Coturnix japonica: one gene and its partner. The main gene of each other region encodes a partner of the protein of the gene in region 2 in a complex. Links are inferred from orthologs where the notes say so. Each region holds a gene or a part of one and is shown on either strand. Other genes may lie near its edges. The genes, in order: SEMA6A and PLXNA2.

Evidence for each region.
Region 1: the proteins of PLXNA2 (region 2) and SEMA6A are in contact, whole or in part, in a crystal structure (PDB 3AL8), measured with the Mus musculus proteins. The link is inferred for Coturnix japonica from reciprocal best matches to the Homo sapiens genes PLXNA2 and SEMA6A. Residues at the interface, in NP_032908.2 of Mus musculus: Ala93, Cys94, Tyr95, Pro96, Lys155, Gln192, Asp193, Tyr194, Asp220, Phe221, Val222, Pro229, Ser230, Asp231, Leu386, Lys389, Val391, Thr394, Lys395, Ala396, Pro397, Val398, Leu407, Asp408, Ile409, Asn410, Gln411; in NP_061214.2 of Mus musculus: Arg108, Met109, Lys110, Gly111, Met162, Ala163, Thr188, Phe190, Leu191, Ile193, Tyr198, Thr206, Arg208, His212, Asp213, Ser214, Glu219, Gln266, Arg267, Glu270, Lys271, Lys393.

The regions. Positions count from the first base shown.
Region 1 is NC_029547.1:64,081,932-64,091,803, reverse strand, and holds the start of SEMA6A (semaphorin-6A), read right to left. Parts: upstream 5,426-9,872; 5' UTR 4,811-5,425; intron 1-4,810. UniProt on the Homo sapiens protein: Cell surface receptor for PLXNA2 that plays an important role in cell-cell signaling. Required for normal granule cell migration in the developing cerebellum.
Region 2 is NC_029541.1:3,039,806-3,049,044, forward strand, and holds part of PLXNA2 (plexin-A2), read right to left. Parts: intron 5,717-9,239; 5' UTR 5,671-5,716; coding exon 4,480-5,670; intron 3,705-4,479; coding exon 3,522-3,704; intron 1-3,521. UniProt on the Homo sapiens protein: Coreceptor for SEMA3A and SEMA6A. Necessary for signaling by SEMA6A and class 3 semaphorins and subsequent remodeling of the cytoskeleton. Plays a role in axon guidance, invasive growth and cell migration.

The DNA of each region.
Region 1 (9,872 bases), on a different chromosome or scaffold from region 2:
CAGTTCCACACTGGGAAAGAGTTAACTATCAGGAGCATTTTTTACTAGTGAATTATGAGATGTCTCATGGTGGTTTGTTTTTTGTTCTTTTTTTACAGATTTTCTTCATCATTTTTAGAAGCTATTTTGCAAAAGATGGAATCTTGCTTTTTTCTTTTTTAACTACTACAGTGGACCTAAACTTTAGATTCCACAGGACATAAATCTGGCAGCTTCGTGTACGTTCTCCTGGCTCATGAAAGCTGAGAATATGATAAATTCATGGGGGGTGGCTTAGAACTCCAACCCTCTCCCCTATTTCTTGTGCCCCCACCATTAACTGGCTGCAGCTTTAATAAGTCTTAAGTGACAAAAATAGCAAATACAGCTATGCATGTCTTTCAATAAACCATTTCCAAGACTTTCTGAATACTCTGATGTTACAAGATACTCTATTTTTTTTTCTCCAGTTCCCATATCACTGTGAATTTTGAAACTTTTCCTACCCAGTTGCTAAAATAGGAGTGGCAAGTGGGCACCTTAGGGACTCCAGGGGACATGCAGGACATGCAATATGTATAATTGCAACACAGTAGGTGGCACTCTTCCCTTTAAATCCTAAAGCAGTGTTTGAGCTGTGCTGCCATACTTGTCACATTACAGGCAAGACCCAAGCTCAAAGACTCATTTTCTGAGACCAGTTAAACAACCCTCTACACTGTATAAATGCTAACATTCAGCTATTTTCATGGCTTCATTCTCTCAGAAGACAGCATACAGAGGGAATAAAGACTCCAGACTGTCCAGTTTGCACTTCAACCAGGACACGCACTTCTGCCTTTGCAGAGCCTGTCCAAGCTCTTTCCTTACTGATGGATGCAACAGGCTCAAAATGAACACATTCATATGTAGAGGTTTTATACTCAGGCCTGAGTTTTCTCTCAGCTGCTTATTTTTGCCACTAAAGCCTGTTTCTGGTTGCTCTATGTTGCAGGACCTGATACCACTGCTGGATCTCTTTACTACCTACCACCCCACTCCTCACCTACCTCAGGGTAGTCTGATGCACAGAATTTATAGTGCAGAAGAAAGCATTGCTTACTACTCTCTTTCTTCTCTTTCCCAGCCCAGACAAGGCTTGCCACAGTCTGCTGTAGGTCTGTGTTAAATGCTGATTGCTCCAGAAGATGTGGACAGAAGTCTGCCTGAATAATGAAGGTTGATTCACAGCAAAAGGACCACGGTTGCACGTCCTCATCAAGCATAGATTCCCACCAGAAAGCAGGGGGAACCACGCTATGGAAGAATGGCCCTAATTGACTAATATTTCAGCAACTGCCTTTATTTTCATCCAATTACTCCAACAAGCAGAGCAGAGCTGGGCAAGCAAGACTGGAAAGGACAAGAGCTAAAGATCTACCTCCTTAATAAATGAATAGTAGGAGGTAAAATACTGCAGCATCTGTATCAAATTAAGATAGTGAAAACTTCTGTTCTAGTATAGTTCAACTTTACTCTAGCATATTCTGTGCCTAAAAGAATAGATATTTATGTAGCAGAATTTACCACGTTGTTTCTTTTCAGTGCTCTGGTAATAGTGCATGGGAATCAGATACAAAGCATTTGACCGAGAAGTGTAACAATGCGTCCTTGCAAACAAGTTGGATGCAAGACATACATTAGCTCAGGTCAATTTAATCCGAAAACATTTTATGTCTCTCCTGCTGCAAACCATGTGAACTCTTTTCATGCGTATTTATGTATGGCTCTTCAAAACAAGATGACAAGTTTCCCCTTCCCTTCACAAAACACGCACAAGCAAGTTCACAATAACCTACTTCCTTTTCAATGCAAACAGTTCTATTCTGGATTTAACACAGGTCATTAATCTGATCCTTCTGATTTCCCTTTTTCTCTCACTCTTACCCCACCTCCCCCCTTCCCTCCAAAATAATAATAATAATAAATGAGCAAGGACAACACCTTCTCCCAAACCTGACCTACCTCCTTCCTCACGCTGAACAGCAATAACTGCATGCCCTAATTTGCAAACATTACAAGGAGACTATGGTTGATACTCACTTCCATCTTCAAGCAGCTGGAGATGATAGATCAACATATTTCTTGCAGACATTAGCACCCAACTATTTTTTTGTTTTGTTTTGTTCAAGAATGACAAGTTTATCTCATAAGGTTGGCTTTGCCACTGGAAGTCAGAGTAACAGTTTTGATGTAGGCTAATTCAGAATACAAAGAACATCTGCGACCATATGATTCGTTTTCCTTTTAAGTACTCATCCATGCTTCAAGCACTTGATTCCCACTACAGGAAAAGCAAACAGTGCAATTATACTTTATGGTATTAATTGCTATTTTAAAATTCATTTTGCATTCAGGCAGAAACTTCTTCTGGGCATTCCACTCCTGAGATAAAATTACTTCAAAGACAGAGATTTTATTCAGTGAAGAGTGGGAGAGAACCAAGATCAACATTTTTATGCATAGGAAATTGTTTGGCTTTAAAGAGAGTTAGTGTATTTTCTCTTTGCATTATATCTTTGGATAAGCTACCACATGAAAAACAGGATCCTTTCAGACAAAATTATACCCTAGACATTGAAACATTCTGGCAACTGCACTTTTTTGAGGCAAACCTTCCCAATCTTACTGACTCTACAACATTTCCTTTCAGTACTCCACATGAGGCAATTCCATGAAAGAAAGGGTTTGCTGTAGGAAACCCACTTTTCCCCACAACACACTAGATCAATCTCATCAAAAACAAACAGAAAACCCAACAAAGTTAACCAGAGCACAGTCAGCTTGCAGAAAACAAATGGCAAAGCAAGCCCTGAACATTACAGTGGCTGCATAAATCCTATTCTCAGAGAGCTGCCACAGACTTGTCAGAATCTCCACAAGTTTTGTGATAGAGCCTCGCTCAGCTGGACTTCCTCACGCTGATTTACCCGGCAAGTAAAGCTTACTGACATGAGAACACTGAATCGCACACAGACAGTGTTTGCCAAGACAGCATAGCAAGGGGCATGATTTCCCCACTGTCATCGAGGTTAGCTTAATAATTAATACAGGTGCCAGATGATACTGAACAAAAGTTAGCCCAACCTACGACAGTTAGCCACTGCACACAGCTCTGTGGCAGAAAATGGTCGTGGAGATTCAGCTCTTCACTATTTACTACTACGCACAGCCCATGCGTCCACCCCTTTGGAGGACCAAGTGTTCCTGTAGCGAAGCCTAGAATTAACGTGTTTTACCACGGGCCACTTCAAGCCTTTGCTTCTGCAGGTCTATTAGTCGAACAATTTCCCGTCCACAACTACCAAAGATGTGTGCTGCACAGACCTCGGGCACACGAGCACAGGTTTACAAACTTCCAAAGCAGCAATTTGCTTAAAGAGTGGAAGGAGAGCAAATTTCCCTCCGAACAAGCGGTCGCTGTTGGCAAAGACACAGACAGCCGTCCGCGGAGCTCAGCCCGGCACTCACCCGGCCAGGGGCTGCCAGGACATCGCAGTGCCAGCGGACAGAACGACATCGCCTCCGCGACGGTCCGCGCTCGCAACGCTCCCCCGCCTGCAGCCACCCCAGGAAGCGCCTCCCTCGGGCAGGAGGGGCGGAGGGACGGCCGAGCTCTTGCAGGTACTTTCTCCGTCGCGAAGCAAAGCCAAACTTTCTGCCACCCTCCCCGGGGACGCCGGCAGGACCCGGGGCAGCGCTGACCCCCTGCCTCATTCCGGGCAGCACGGGTCGGGGGAGCGGTGTGTTCCTAGCACGCCTCGCCCGCAGTCCCTACACGGGCTGGGCTGAGGGTAACTAAACCGTCTTCTCTTCAACAGCGGCACGAAGCTGCCCGCTGCCGGCCGCTCGGAGCCGCCTGCCCAGCTCCGAGAGGGGCTGCAGCAGCTCCTTCGTGCCGGATTGCCCCGCTCTTCCCCCTAGAAAAACTTTCTCCGCCGTTTCTCGGCTCCCCGGGCAGGAGAGCGAGCGAAGAGCAGAGCCCTCACCCTGCCGAGAAGGGGGCGGGGAAGGGGCCCTGCCCGGGAGCCTCTCTTCTCCCTGCCGCGGCAGCCGAGCAGCCCGCAGCCCCTCTGCGGGGACAGAGGTCGGTGCGGCGGGGAGGGGAGCCCACGGCCTCAGCCCACCCTCGCGAACAAAGCCGCTGTAGCACCCGGGGAAACCGAAGTTTTCTCGGTTGCCGGCCTCTTCTTTCAGCCTTGAAAATTTAATAAAATAAAATAATGCCAACAAACAAAAACCCCAATCCCGAAACACACCTCCAAGCCCACCAAAATAGAAGACACCACCACAATCCCGCACTTGAGAGAGGAAACCGTGGGTTACGCCTCTGCACGAAGCTCCCGCACTGTGCCTGTAACAAAGACCCCGGCAGCTCACAGCCCCGCGCGGTGACCGCGGGCAGCGCTGATCCGGCCCCGCACGAAACCCCCCGCAGCAGCGGGCAGGGAGCGGGGCTGGGAGACGGGAGAATGCGGACAGGAGCTCGAGCACCGTGCATGCAAACGGTGCCGGTGGGCCGGGGAGCGCCGGCGCGTTCAGCAGCCTGGGGGCGGGGGAGAGGAAAAGAGGAAAAAAGGAAAAGAGAGACGAAGCCACGAGATGCCTGGAAAGTGGCAGCGGCGAGCACAACGCGTGCGCTTGCGGGCAGCTCCTCGCTTAATGCCATCGGCGCTGCCGAAGCAGCCGCAGCCGCCGCCCGCCGTCCCCACCGCTCTCGACCGGCCGGGCGAGGCGGGTGCCTTCCTTCCACGCAACCCAACACATCGGATACGGACGGGGAGTACTGTACCTTTTCGGTGCATCTATCTGGGCAGCTAGAGGACAGAACTAGCTGATGGTGTGTCCCATTTAGTAATCCATTTAAGGGGATCTCTCTGGGAAACTGGAGCCACTCTCTCCTTTGCAATCCTTTGTCATTACTACATATGTGCTTCCCAGGGGATGGAATATTTTAATATTTCTACTTTCTGAATTGCAAGTGCAATTTGTTCATTTCCAATGACGGAAAAAAAAAAAAAGAAAAAAGAAAAAGAAAAAAAAAAAGAGGGAATAGGAGTGAAAAAATATATATGTATATCAAAAAAAGAAAAAGAAAAAAAGAAGAAGAAGAAAAAAAAAAGCGTTCGCAACTCCTCTCCGAACCCAAATTCCACTACGATTCCACTCCAGTAAGTCCCCTTCAGCCGTGCCTCGGGAGGTAAGTCATTGCGGGGTCTTGTCCTGCTCCCCTTCTACCAAAAGTGCTCCCGGTGCTAAAGCTGCTCCAGGAAAACTCCGAGGCTGTGCGGCGCTCGCCGTGCCGCGGCAAGAAGGCGCAGTCGCTGCTCGCCCCAGGCTGTCGGGCATTGGACTGGAAGCCTCTCGCCCGCCGCCGCTGCCCTGCCTCCGCCCGGCTCCCACTCCCAACCCCTGGGACGCGGCTCCGGAGGCGGAGACAAAGCCCGGACTGGATCTCTCCGTGCGGCCGCGCCCCGCCCCGCCCCGCCCCGCAGGCACGTGCCCAGCCGTCCCGCCCCGCCGTGCTGCGGGCGGTGCCGCCGGAGGGGTGGATGCGGCGTTGAGCCCCGCGGGAGCGGAGTCCCCGTCGGCACCGTCGGCACCCGCCGCCGCCGCATGATCCACGCGCTGCGCCGCATCGCCGCCCCAGGGATGCCCGCGAGCGACCGGAGCATCTCGGCTTTGCGGTTCCGCGGGGTGCCGCCGGCACCCATCTCGGCCGTCTTCATCTCTTCCTTTTCCATCGTTCCTCCACCCAAATCTCGTCCCGGCGGCCGCTGGCTGCGTTAATCCCCGTCTCGGAGCCGATCCAGAGAGAGGCAGGAGAGAGCGGCGCTAATATGTTAATCCCCCACCCCAGCCCTGCGGTCGTGCACCCGGTCGGGTCGCTCCCGGCTGTCACGCTCGGGTGTGGATCCGACCCTCCGGCCCCTATCGCTGACCTCTGGGGGCTCCGGGTGCGGGGACAGACAGAGCCGTTCCTCAGCCGTAGCATGGGATTAACAGCGTTTTGTATCCTGTAGCTCTCACTAGAGTGAGGTTTGAGAGGAGAGTTTCCGTGTGGAGGTATCTGCTCCACAACAGGAGTCGCTTTACAAGTGCAATTGCTTCAACACGATATTTATTTATTTATCTATCTATCTATTTATTTATTTATTTCCCCTCCAAACCAGATAAGTGAAACGACGGGATAGAGCAAAGGGATTTACTGTCAGGCCACAAAGGGGTGTCATTAACATTAAAATAATTCCTTGTTTATGGCAGCTGTTTTTCCCTTGCCTTTTATTTTCAGATAATGAAAGGACTCTGAGACATTGGTTTCGGTTCAGTATTTGATTTGGGGTCTAAAATTACGCGTGTTCATTCAGTTTCTAGTTGGTAGATTACAAGGGAAAACATCCATCTGTGTTGGGGAAAAGTTTCTTCTTTCAGACAGTTTATACTGAATGTATACTTAGGATGATTTTCTAACTAAATGAACTAAGATTTCGTATATATTTTCTTCCTTGCCCTGAAAATCTGAAACAGAAGAGGGCTCTGCACTGAAGAGAGTAATTGCTGGTAAGAGATAAATTTTAGTTCAACAAACGTATGCTAGATCTGAAAGCAATTAGAGGAATTGGACTAGTACAAATAATTTCTGGGTACCCAACCATGTGTCAGAAGAATAAACCAGACTGAATGGACCTTGGTTTGCCAAGAGCCCTACCCCTTTATCTTCCCAGAGGAGGCTCTGGATCATCTCTTACTGCATCTCCCTGTGTCAGGAATTGAGAACAGAGATAACATAGTCTGGCTTTGTGGGAAGTTTCCATCATTATGCTATCCTCAACTGCTACATACATTTTGAGGTGCTCAGGACTTCCACTGACTTTGTTGTGGTTTAAACTGTAAGCAGATCTCAATCGAGCCCTACTCATGTGCTTCAAAAGTATTTCTGCAGTACTGAGCAGTTTGTTTTACACTTGGATTTCCTCATTAATCAGAAAGGCTCTCTAACAGAGAACATTTTTTCCCCCTATATTTATGGTTTTGAAAAACACGTGCCAGATTTTTAGTTTATGGAAGAAGCAGAAATCAGTGAAAAATCCCGTGTTCCATACCTTGGTATGAGCTACAGCACCGGTTGTGAGAAGTTTCTGTTGAGGTTTCTTTACAAAAGTGCTTTTCATTCATCCACTTTCTTTCCCTGTATTTAATTTCCAAGCCTGCACTGATTTATTTCATCATTTAAACACACACACTGCAACCGTTTTCACTTATCCTTCTGCCAGAACTTTTGTCAGCTCTCCTGTCCTTTATTCCCCTACTGCTCCTTCTGCTCTTAACTTACTCAAATAACTCTGCAAAATCAGATGAGTGTTATGGCTTAAAGAAACAACCCTCTTTTCTTTTACCTGTCTCCTCATCCCCTTTCGCTCTCTGTACCCAGAATGGTAAACTATTCTCCTCATGTTTTCTCCCCCACCAAGTCATATCGGGCTGTTTTTATGGAACAGTCTCAATTCTCCATGCTGTCAGATTTTCTGAAAACACAGCACAGCCTTATCTGTTTTTGCCTAGACTAGTTAAAAACTGTGAGCTATTCACACTGGCCTGAGGAAGGGAATTATTACTCTTACTTTTGGGAGCATATTTTTTCAGTGGCTGCTCTTTGGCAGCTGCACTGGTGGGTTTTCCAGTCTCCATCTGGTTAGGGATTCTTGGTGAGGTATCCATGGAGCTGTGCATTATCTGAAAGATTTGTGCAAGCTGCAGAGTTCTCCAGCTCCTCTTTGGACAGGATCTCTATCAAAGATTTAATTTGAGTTGATGTGAAAATATTACCTCTGCTTTTGCTTCCTAATCATAGAGTTATAGAATGGCTTAGGTTAGAAGGGATCTCAAGGATCATCAAGCTCCAACCTAATCACATAGAATACAAAGTTCTGGGCTGCATTAAAAATAGGAGTGGCCAACAGGGAGAGGGAGGTGATTGTCCCTCTCTACTCAGCTCTTGTGAGGCCCCATCTGCAGTGCTGCGTCCAGGCCTGGATGCTCTTGGAGCAGGTCTAGAGGAGTGACACTAAGATGGTCAGAGGGCTGGAGCACCTCTCCTGTGAGGAAAGGCTTAAGGAACTGAGATTGTTTAGCTTGGAGAAGAGAAGGCTCTGGGGAGACCTCATTGTGGCCTGTATGTACTTGAAGGGAGCATTTAAACAGGAGGGGGAACAGCTGTTTACGAGGGCAGATAGTGATAGGACAAGGGGGAATGGTTTAAAACTGAGACAGGGGAGGTTTGGGTTGGATCTTAGGAAGGGGGAATGGTTTTAAACTGAGACAGGGGAGGTTTGGGTTGGATCTTAGGAAGAAGTTTTTCACTTCTCAGTGGGTGGTGACGCACTGGAACATGCTGCCCAAGGAGGCTGTGGATGCCCCATCCCTGCAGGCATTCAAGGCCAGGCTGGATGTGGCTCTGGGCAGCCTGGGCTGGTGGTTGGTGACCCTGCACATAGCAGGGGTTGGAACTGGATGATCATTGTGGTGCTTTTCAACCCAGGCTATTCTGTGATTCATTCTATGATTCTATACATATGTTGACTTGATGTTGTTGGGATGCTCATACTGTGCTGGGGAAGGACACTTGAATCTCTTTGGTTGCTGGCAGCTACCTCATCTATCTGGCTTGTGTGAAGTTCAGTTCCAAGCAGTGCATGAGCCCCACGCTGAATATGCACTCATTTTCTTCTCTGTCATTTCTGTGGAAGTACTGAGGATCTGGTGTGTCACAGTGATGCAACGATGCACCGCAGTTGTTGAACACATCCACATTCATTGTTTTCCCATATCACATTCTCCACTTTTTGCATTAGTTGTTGTGATTAGATTCAATTTATTTCCTTCTTGCCCCTATTTCAGAAATTCAAAGTACAGCACAGTTTTGCGCTGACAAGAAACAACCCACAAGAGTGGTGAAGCAGAGGATTTTTACATAGTCTGAGAAACATGAGTGGCTCCAAAGAAGGTAGGAGATGGCTTTGATGTCCAGGAGGCACTTGAAGCATGTAGTGCTAGGAAGATCTCCTTTTTCCCTCTCCCAGCAACGTAGGAAATACCTTTACAGGGGGGTTATACCTTATCAGAAATAAAAATAAAATGCTGAGCGCAGATATATCTTAACATACAGAAGCGCTGACTTTAATCTCACAGCAACAATGAAAGCTCATCAAATGGTAAATATGATTTTTGTAGAGGCAACATTATTGAAAGCCTGGCAAAGTAATTTCTCCTACGCACAGAAAAGATCTTTATTTTAATCGCTTCGGAGGAATTCACTAAGCTCAGCTGTACTCTGAAAATGTGGTTGGAAGTGGGCAGTATTTTAGTCTGCACATAGCTGTTCTTGGGCACGCAGTTAAAGAAAAACAGCACGGGCCCATTCCTTGGTCTCTTAGCATAAGAGAACAATGGCTCTTTCTCCCAGGCAGCTCCTGCAGGGTCAGGGCCATAGTTCAGGATTATAATGTTTTCCAGACCACTGTTGACAAATAAAACGAGATTAGATTAGGACCAGGTAGGCCATGAGTTTATTCTGTGGATATGATTTTTAATGGTTTGTGAATCCCTGCAAAAAATTGTTCTGTATTCAAGCTGTTTACAAAAGTATCTGATTTTTGTACTGTTGGACAGGATGCATGGATTTACTTTTCTTAACCTGTTCACACATTTTTCCAATAAAGCGTAGATACTGAGATGACCATGGGCTGACTGGGAAAATACTCAGTAGAGGCACTCAAAGTATGTGAAATTCATAAAAGTAGTCTGGAATATTCACTAGAAATCCACTGAAGAGAGTCCTTCTGTGCCAGTTGGTG
Region 2 (9,239 bases):
ATCAGTCCCATCCTCCACCAGACAGACCAGGTTAGCCGAGTTCTATGGACGCTGTTTTCCATCAGTAAAAAGACAAGCAGCACAGCAGTGCTTAGCTTGAGGCCCTATTAATAGCAGTCCTAATTATATGGCTGCAAATTTAATTCGTAGCAATGATTAGTGTCAAAATCAAAGGCATCACACATCAATATTGATGGAATTGTATGAAGCCCGTAAACAGAACAAGCAAGCCGACACATCTCCCCCCAGCACTCAGTTGCTGTTCACTGTTGTATTAATGTCTCCTTTAATTTTCCTCCATGAAAACTGCGTTATTGCAGTTCATTAACTGAGCACTTATGTCTCGATATGATACCGTTTAGCCCAGTCAGGATGCTGAGACCTTGCAGGAGAACCAGACCTCCAGGCTGCAGAGAACAGGACCGCACGTACCCACCTTATCCGAAGGTCACAGCATTATCAGCACATTGGCTTTTCACCACTTACAGATAACTGCTGCAGTAATTTGCAGCAGTTCCCAAAGCCAGAGAGCTGCCATGGAGCAGGGCTGCTCTATCACATCCCATGTACTGTGGGGACATGCCTACAGGTGCAGCCCCTGACAGCACCAAGCATCCCCTACCCAAGGCAGTCGGGATGGCTGAGCCAGTGTTGCATGAGAACATCCCTCCTATAGCAAAGGGTTTCCATGCAGAATGGATCCATCGACTCATCCCTATCCCTTAGGCAGCAACAAAGGGCAGAGGGGTGCATGCACCATTCCACGTGGTATGAGCTGCTGATAGTCCACAGCTCAGGTATAGCCCTGGGCTGGTTGGGAGAGGGACTGTAGAGGGACAGTGGGACAAAGGGAAGGGACAGAGCCTGGAGTGAAGTGGCCCTGGGTTGGCAGAGACCTTCAGCATCCAGCTCCTTGGGAGGACAGGCTGCAGCAGCCCATTAGAATGGCTGATGGGAAGGACATCAGTGAGATAAGGGGATATTTTCGGTAATGAACTCTCACAGGCAAAGCTGAAAGATTTCAGAGCTGGCTCCCTGACTTCTTCCCTGCAGCTACATAAAAGCCTCTTCTTTGAAATCCCAGGCTGAGCCACCAGCTTGCTTCCAAAGTAAATCAACAACTGTGGGAGAGGGAATAGATGCGAGCAGCGTTCAGCGTTCGGTGCGTAGGTAGATAGTCAGGGCAGTGAGATGAGGAGAGGAGGCGTTTATCTGGGAATCTCTGGCACTTACAGAGGTGCACATCTTTACTGTCCTCATTTCACATGTGGGGAAGGAGAGAGACAGAAGCTTTCATAGCCCTCGTAACATTGAGTGATGCGCCAGCTCTGGGACCACGCTCAGCCTTGCAGACAACCAAGCAACATCTCTGGATCCAAAACACCTCCACTGTGGCACTGTTAGAGGCAAAGCCACTTCCCACACTTCATACATAAAGATAACCCCATATGTCAAAAAGGAATAGATTTACCAGAGGTCCAGCCCAGAACATCCCCAGCCCCAAGCAGCATAAGACAGGGCTCCAGCTCTGGATACAGCAGGGTCCCAGCAGCTGATGTGTGGAGAAGGGCTCTTAATATATGCCACTAAGGGCTGACTGTAATGAATGACTGGAAGGGACTCGCTGGAGACTTAAGTTCAGTTTTTCAGTACCTGTTTACCACTGGCTCAAACCACAGGCAAAGCTTGGATTATTCCTGCATTGCTCCTCAGCTCCCCTCCTGCCCACAGGAGTAAAGTGGATGGGCATGAATAAACTAACCAGCATCAAAAGGTGGATGTTTGAGTGGGGCTTCAATGCAGACAACTACAAGGAATTAACTGTGCCGGAGAAAATGCTTCTTCTGTAATCCTACATAATTAATGCCACACTACAGTAAATGCCTGGTGTGCAGGCACAAGCTGTTCGCTTTAACTCCCTACACACAAAGCAGCTCCCCTGCTTCCCAAAACACCAAATGGACAGCACCCAACCCAACAATGGCCAACAAACACTCCAACCATAGCCAACAACCACCCAGCAAAGGCCAACAACCACCCAACAATGGCCAACAACCACCCAACAATAGCCAACAACCACCCAACAATGGCCAACAACCACCCAACAATGGCGAACAACCACCCAACAACCACCCAACAACCACCCAACAACAGCCAACAACCACCCAACAATGGCCAACAACCACCCAACAATGGCCAACAACCAGCCAGCAATGGCCAACAACCAACCAATGGCCAACAACCACCCAACAATGGCCAACAACCACCCAACAATAACCAACAACCACCCAACAACCAGCCAACAACAACCACCCAACAATGGCCAACAACCACCCAACAATGGCCAACAACCACCCAGCCATGGCAAGCAACCACTCAACAATGGTCAGCAAATATCCAACAACTAGAAACCACCCAGTGGCCAACGTGGCTTGCTGGAACCTCAAGCAGATGCATTATTTGCAATATGCTGATGATTTCTTTCTCCACCCACACCAGGATGAGCCCCATGTCCCACACAGCACCAGGTTGGGCAGGGAAAGAAGGGTTCTGCTCATGCCCCCATGCTCCAGATTTCCTCACTGCACTGAGAGGCACCAGGGAGACTCCTAATTTACTGCTGCTCAGCACTTGTAAAGTGCTGAATGAATATTAATGAACTGATGTAATTAAAATGATGCAGACATTCAAGTGTAGTATCTGCCTGTCCTTGTATCTTCCTGGATAGATGAGGAAGAAATTCCCTGCTGTTTAAGGACACAAAAAATTAACAACCTGCTGTTGATTACATTTGTTAACTCTTTCCCTGGCTTAGAGAAGCAGGGTCTGCATTTAGCAGGTTCACCAAATGATGTCATTGACATCTCAGGTTCATCTGAAGGAAGCAGACTGGTGGTTGGACCCCCAGAGCCCACTCAGAAGCCCCCAGCTCTCACTGCTGGGAGAGAAAAGCAACATGGAGGTTTTCTTAGCCCTGGGCAAGAGCCCCAGCTTTTGTGATGCAAAGGGTGAGGAATGTTATCTACCAGGGATCCATCATCCAGCTGTCTTGGGGAGAGAAGGATAAGGAAGAAGGCTTTGCCCTGAAGCTTGGTTTCCAAAAGCAGCCAAGTCAACCCACTCGCTGATTCAACATTCTGCCACCACCACCAAATATTGCCAGCACAAAAGGAAACTCAAAAGCCTCTGAAGCTCAGTCTACCACACCAACGGCAGAAGGATTATTGCGAAACAACTCAAACCTGCTGCAAGACTTCCATTAAACCTTCACAAACAAAAGGACATCTCTGAGACCCCCTGCCATGGTTCGCTGATGGTCACTTCAACTCACAAACTGTCCACCAGATCTTTTTGCCTCCAACCACGTCAGCCTGTTATTGCTCCAATAACTTCTTCAACAGCCCCACAGATACACCACGGCTCATTGAATGATGAAATGAAAAACCAAACCAAACCACAATGGGCCGTAACACTGACAAGAAACGGATCCCGCCTCCCCAAAGCCACAGAAATTCTCTTACCTTCTTCACTTTGCCATTTTTAGTCCCCACAAACACCACGCTGTAGCCATTGTAGATGTATGAAGCTACAGAAGTCATCCTGTCCCGGCTGGAGGTGAAGAGTGTCACACCATCCACTGGCACTGAGCCACCCAGGGGCTGGTTGATGTCGAGCCCACAGAAGTTGTCATCAATTGGAACAGGCTGGAAAGAGGAGATTTGAGGCAACCATGAGTGAAATACAAAGCAGGAGGCAGCCCTAATTTCATTGCACAGGAGAGCCAAGGAGACTGGGGACATGGGGCTGGTAGGGACATGGAGTCTGCATGGATGTGAGGTCTGTAGGGGTTGACCCAGCTGCAGACCCTGGTTTTTATGGTGGTGCCATGGGGCTGCACCATCACACTGACTGCAGTTCTCTTGCTTATTTTCCATAAGGGACATTCAGGAACTGCCAAACACTTAGACACAACTGTGAAGGGATGGCTCTCCCATGTGCAAGCATTCTCACTTTCCTTTTTTCATTTCATTTAACCCACGTTCATCTCCTCCCAGCAGCCAAACTTAATATGCTTGGCAAAAGAAGGCCCCGGGGATTCTCAAGTCAGCCCTAGAACAATCTGCATCTGAATCAAGATTAGAGAAATCATCTGAATAAAACCACGAAAGATGCAACTGTCATTTGTGTTTATCTTGTTAGTTTGCTGATACCAGCCTCTTGCTGTGGGAAAGGTGAGAGCCTGAGGTTGGGAACAGCAAACACTGCCAACAAGCAGCACACCTTCATCTTTATCCACCTGCCTCAGTGCTGTCCCTCCTTTCACTACCATCACTGATTGTCTGAAAACAATAGGGATTAAGGAAGAAAAGGACTACTACATCCATTCCATATTTAGGGGAACTGAGGCACGGAAATATTGATTCTGTTCTGTAACTTAGGGCCACACATTAAAAACAAAGGCTATGACAACCAACTCACCGCTTTGGTGCACTGGACATCCTTCCCCAGCAGCCAGTTGAGCTCCAGGTTGCCCTCCCCTTGGTAGCAAGACTGCAGCCGGTCCTTGATCTGGGCATTGACAGCACGAATTGGGAAGACACAGAGTGCAGAATCATCCGGAGGCTGGTGGTATTGCTTCTGTCCCTTGGAGAAAATGGCAAAGAGGACATCCTCCTGGGCTGTGATATTGAGGGATTTGGCCAGCACATCCCCTGGCTTTGACAGATAGGCTGCCTGCAGCAGGCGATACTCCGTGTCCCCCCTGACGCAGCCAAAGGGAAGAGAGACATAGGAGTGGAACTTGGGGTCATCTTTGCAGAGCCGGACGATGCGGGATGTATAGAAGAGGTCACTGGCAGAGTTGGAGACGCCCTCTGGGGTCTCTGGTTGGACAGTCAAAAAATACACGAAGTTGCCACTGGCAAAGCCGTAGATGTAGAAGATATCAAAGTGAGAAATGAGAGCCAAGGTGTCTGAGGGGATTTTGATGAGGGACGAGACAAAGTCACTGTGAAGCTCATAATCCAACATCGCCGATGACTCTGGGTCGCGGGGAAGCTTTCGGCTGGAGAGAGTGGGGAAATAATCCTGCTTCCCATCCACTGCTGTGCCAATGAAGAGCTTCCCATCCTCACCCTCGGAGCGCACGATGACGCCGTACATGGTGCCTGTCTTATTGACACTGGACAGGTAGTGCTCCTTCTTGTGCGAGGGCTCCACCAGGATGAACAGGTCATCCAGGCGCAGCAGTTTGCACACCCCCTGGTACAGGCTGCCACAGGCCAGCAGCCGGTTCTCGGAGTAGTCAATGATCAGCAGCTTGTTGACATTATTGGTGAGGGTCAGCACCTCGCTGCAGGGCTGCACGATGAGGGGAGGGTAGCAGGATTTGTTGTCCTCCTCGGGACCGGTTTTGTGAGCCACTAAAATGGTCAAGTTACCTGAAAGCTTGTAAACCCTATTGATGGCTCCGACATAAACCGCTCCGGTGCTTTGGTGGACGGTCAAGTGGTTGAAAGTCCAGTCCCGGTGCTCAGAATGGAAAGTGCTGAATGAGGCACTGCCGGATGCGCTCCAGGAGAGCCATGCCAGGAGGAGGCAGAGAAGAGATGCTGACCTGCCATCACTATCAGAGCGCAGCACCCAAGGGCAGGTCCTCCTCCGATCCATCCTGGGAATGGCCGACCTGTGCCCCAGCAACGTCCCTCACATGGTTCTGGAGGAGAGAAGAAAGGCACAGAGCAAAGGATTAGACCCGGTGTGCCTGCAGATACCATTCAAATTACACTTTCTAATTACAGAGTCCTTGAGATAAAGCGAGGACATCCCTAAGCCTAACAAGAATTAAGCAGGTCTCCTAACTTATTGGCAAACTGTTCAGGTTTGAGGTTGTGCCACTTGGTTCAGCCCCTGTGTGTTAATGCATTCGGTGTTTGGTTGTTATAATGTGCTCCACTCTGCCATGGGAGGGGATAATCAGCTCCCGGCCAAGACAAAGCCTGCAGTTCCCATACAACCATCAATCTGCAGGCTTGGCTAAAAGGATGCCTCCTGCAGGGAATGTTGCTGGAAGCAACACAGGAAATAAGAGGTGTTTTCTGCCTTTAGGACCTCTATGATTTAATGTGAGAGACTGAGGAAGAAGTCTCATGTGGGCAAAAGTGCACTAAGGATGCACCCCAAAGACCCAACAGCCCCCATCACCTCTGCCCTGAGCCAGCAGTGCCCATGCAGGTGGCACCAACGCCTTCTCACACCTCCAGACCTGCTGCCGACCCCAACTTGTGCTTTTAACCCAAATGCTGTGCTTCTTCCACACTCCATGTTGGACAACTCCAGGAACCATCCCATACTGTCCCATTGGCTGATATTCTCCCTCATCCCACATCATTATGGGGTCGCACCACCCTGGGATGAGGAAGATGATGATCCACCTTCCTCCATCACACATAGACCAGGCAAAGACTTGTGATTTATAGCACAGCACAGCACCGTGTCCATGCTGGCACCTATCCTGCAGGACAAGGGCTCCTCCCGGCCCCATGCAGCTGTCAGAGCTTCTGCTCTGATTGATGCTGATCTCAGATTTGGTATTTAAAACAATTCATACCGCTGGAAACCTACACCACGCTCATAAGCGGGTGTCAGCAAGCGGCTGCTCTTTAGGCTTGTTAATGCCGGGAGCTGGAGATGGGTGTTGTGAGAGGTGACAAAGGAGCTCTCCCAGGGCTGCATGTCTCTGTGTCACTGACAAGACAGCGCAGGAGCACGATAATGGGTTCCTCATTCTGCTCAGGGATACGTTTCCTCAGCTGCTGCTTCTGGTTTCCAGCTTCATTTTCACCTCTGGCAGGCAGCAGTTCCCCTCTGCCAGCTCAGAGAGCACTGTGCTCTGATGGTGGGGTGCTCAGGGCAGCAGGTTCTGGCTTATGGGGTTCTGGGATGCACGGGGGCTCAATGCACAACACAACTAATTTCTGCTGAAGTATTGGGTTGGTTTTTCTTTTTCCCTTGGAAGTGAGTTTAAAACACAGCTTTAAGGGCAATCTGAAGCTATTAGTAACACAAGGTAAAAAAAGAAAAACTAAACAATAAAAGAGTAAATTCAGGGCCACAACATAAACCCAAGCAGCTGAAAGGCCTCAATTAGGCTGAAAGGAGTTATCGGGTATTTAAATAATTATTAGATTGAAGGAATAATCACAGGTCTGAGCTGGCTTTTTTTCCCCCACTGTCTTCCTAATGGAGGCCATAATATTATTATTCAAATGGCCACGGTTCCCATTGAGGGGGGAAGGATCCCGGCTCACTCCATCTCAGTGCAGCAGCGCTCTGCTTATTGCAGCTGTCACTCAACTGCAGCACCACGCTTTGTCATTTGTGGCATTTTATGCCACACGAAAAAGGGGGGGGAAAGAAAAGGGGAGGAATTAAAGCAAAAATGAGATTCTCTTATGGAAAATGAGGGCTCAAAGGAACATTTTTGATGCTATGAGTGCAGCAGCTGCCCTCCCACACGGTGTTGGGCCACCAGCTGCCCCTCTCTCTTCGCATGGGCTCCATCTATCTCTGCCTTCCAGAGAAGAAAAGAGAGAAGAAAAGTGGAGTTTGCCCATTTTGTGCCAAGTGAGAGCACACACACGGCTCCTCTCAGCCCTCCTGGAGCCGACCAGGAATGTTCCTGGGAAACGTTTCCAACCATTGAAGCTGTTGCAGTGATTTATGTCCTGTGAAGACCCAATATTCAGGACATTTGGTGCAGCAGCCCCCTGCACTTTCAGCCCAGGCGGCACTCAATCATTTGTTTGCTTGACACCAGCCTGCAATGACCGAACAGTTTGATGTGAAGTAATTACATTTTCCTAACACAAAGCAGGGATGATGGCTCCTACAGCCTTTTTGTTTGCTTATAGAAGGTTCTGACCCCACCAACACTAAAAGCAGGCAGACAGCTCCGGAATGGCTGGGACAGGAGGGACAGCCCTGCTATCCACACAGTGTCCCCTAACATGAGATAGCAAAACAGCAGGGCTGAAAGATACTGAGCTGCAGCCCCAATGCTCACAGCACCCCCATAGGTGCAGGGAAAGAGTTAAGAGGGCAAAGCATAGCATTGTGCTTATTGCTTCCTCCAGCCCTGGGACAAGGAAGAGGAGGGGAAAAGCAAAACCCAGCCGTGAAAAGGCATTTCCCTGATAACAAACACGATTGCATGAATTATGCACCCAATTCAGTCATATTGTCCAGACATGGGATCTTGTTTACACAATACATACCGGATGAGCCACCTCTTCCCCCCCCCCCCAGCCTCAATCCTGAGTGTGCATCCTAGCGGTGCTGGGGTGAGGAGAAGCAGAGTAGCATAGAGCTGGGCTGGCAGCATCCCTGGCTTATCCCAGCCTCATTGCCTGGCCCTGAACATGGTACTCTGAGCACTCTGCTTCCCTCTCAGGCTGCGAATGGTGCTCCCGCACAAGAGGCACTCATGTTCAATCAAAGGAAATGCTCTGCTATCAAAGGGGAGTCACCAAGCACAAACCACTGCAGTAAAGTGTATATAAGGGGCTGTGTTAGTGCTTCGATCCCCCTCTCTGTGTCTGTGTCCGTGAACTGAGCAGAGATTGTTCAGCAGAGCACAGCCGCTCTCCCCTGACAACAGTGACAAGCAAACACGGGCACAGCTATCTCCAACCACAGGGTAAGCCCTCGCTTGCCTCCAGGATGAGAAGGAATGGCCTTAAGTTGTGCCAGGGCAGGTTGGATATAAGGAAAAAAAAATGATTGCTTGAAAGAGTGGTGATGCACTGACACAGAACTGCCATTGAGTGGTGGGGTCACCCTGCAGGTCTGGAACATGAGGACACGTTCAGTGGGCACTGCTGGGGTTGGAGTCAGAGATCTCAGAGCTCTTTTCAGTTCAGACTCTGTTTGATTATTCAAGGGACTTAAATCCCAACAAAACAGAATTTAATGGAGGGTGACCTTAAGTGCAAAGCAGATCAAATGCTTAAACGCTTTGCCTGAAGCGATACAGAAGGTGTCAGTGCCCGCTGCTCCCCCAGGTGACCTCTGGCTGTGGTTTGTTCCATAGGAACACGACAACACGAGCAGTGAAGTCACTGAGCTGCAGGAGGAAAGCAGGCAGCAGCATCTGCTGGCCTCTCTCCAAGTACCCCACAGGCAAATGGAGAGCCCCAGCTTCACATTAAATGGGTCCCCAGCCACTCCATTAAACAGAA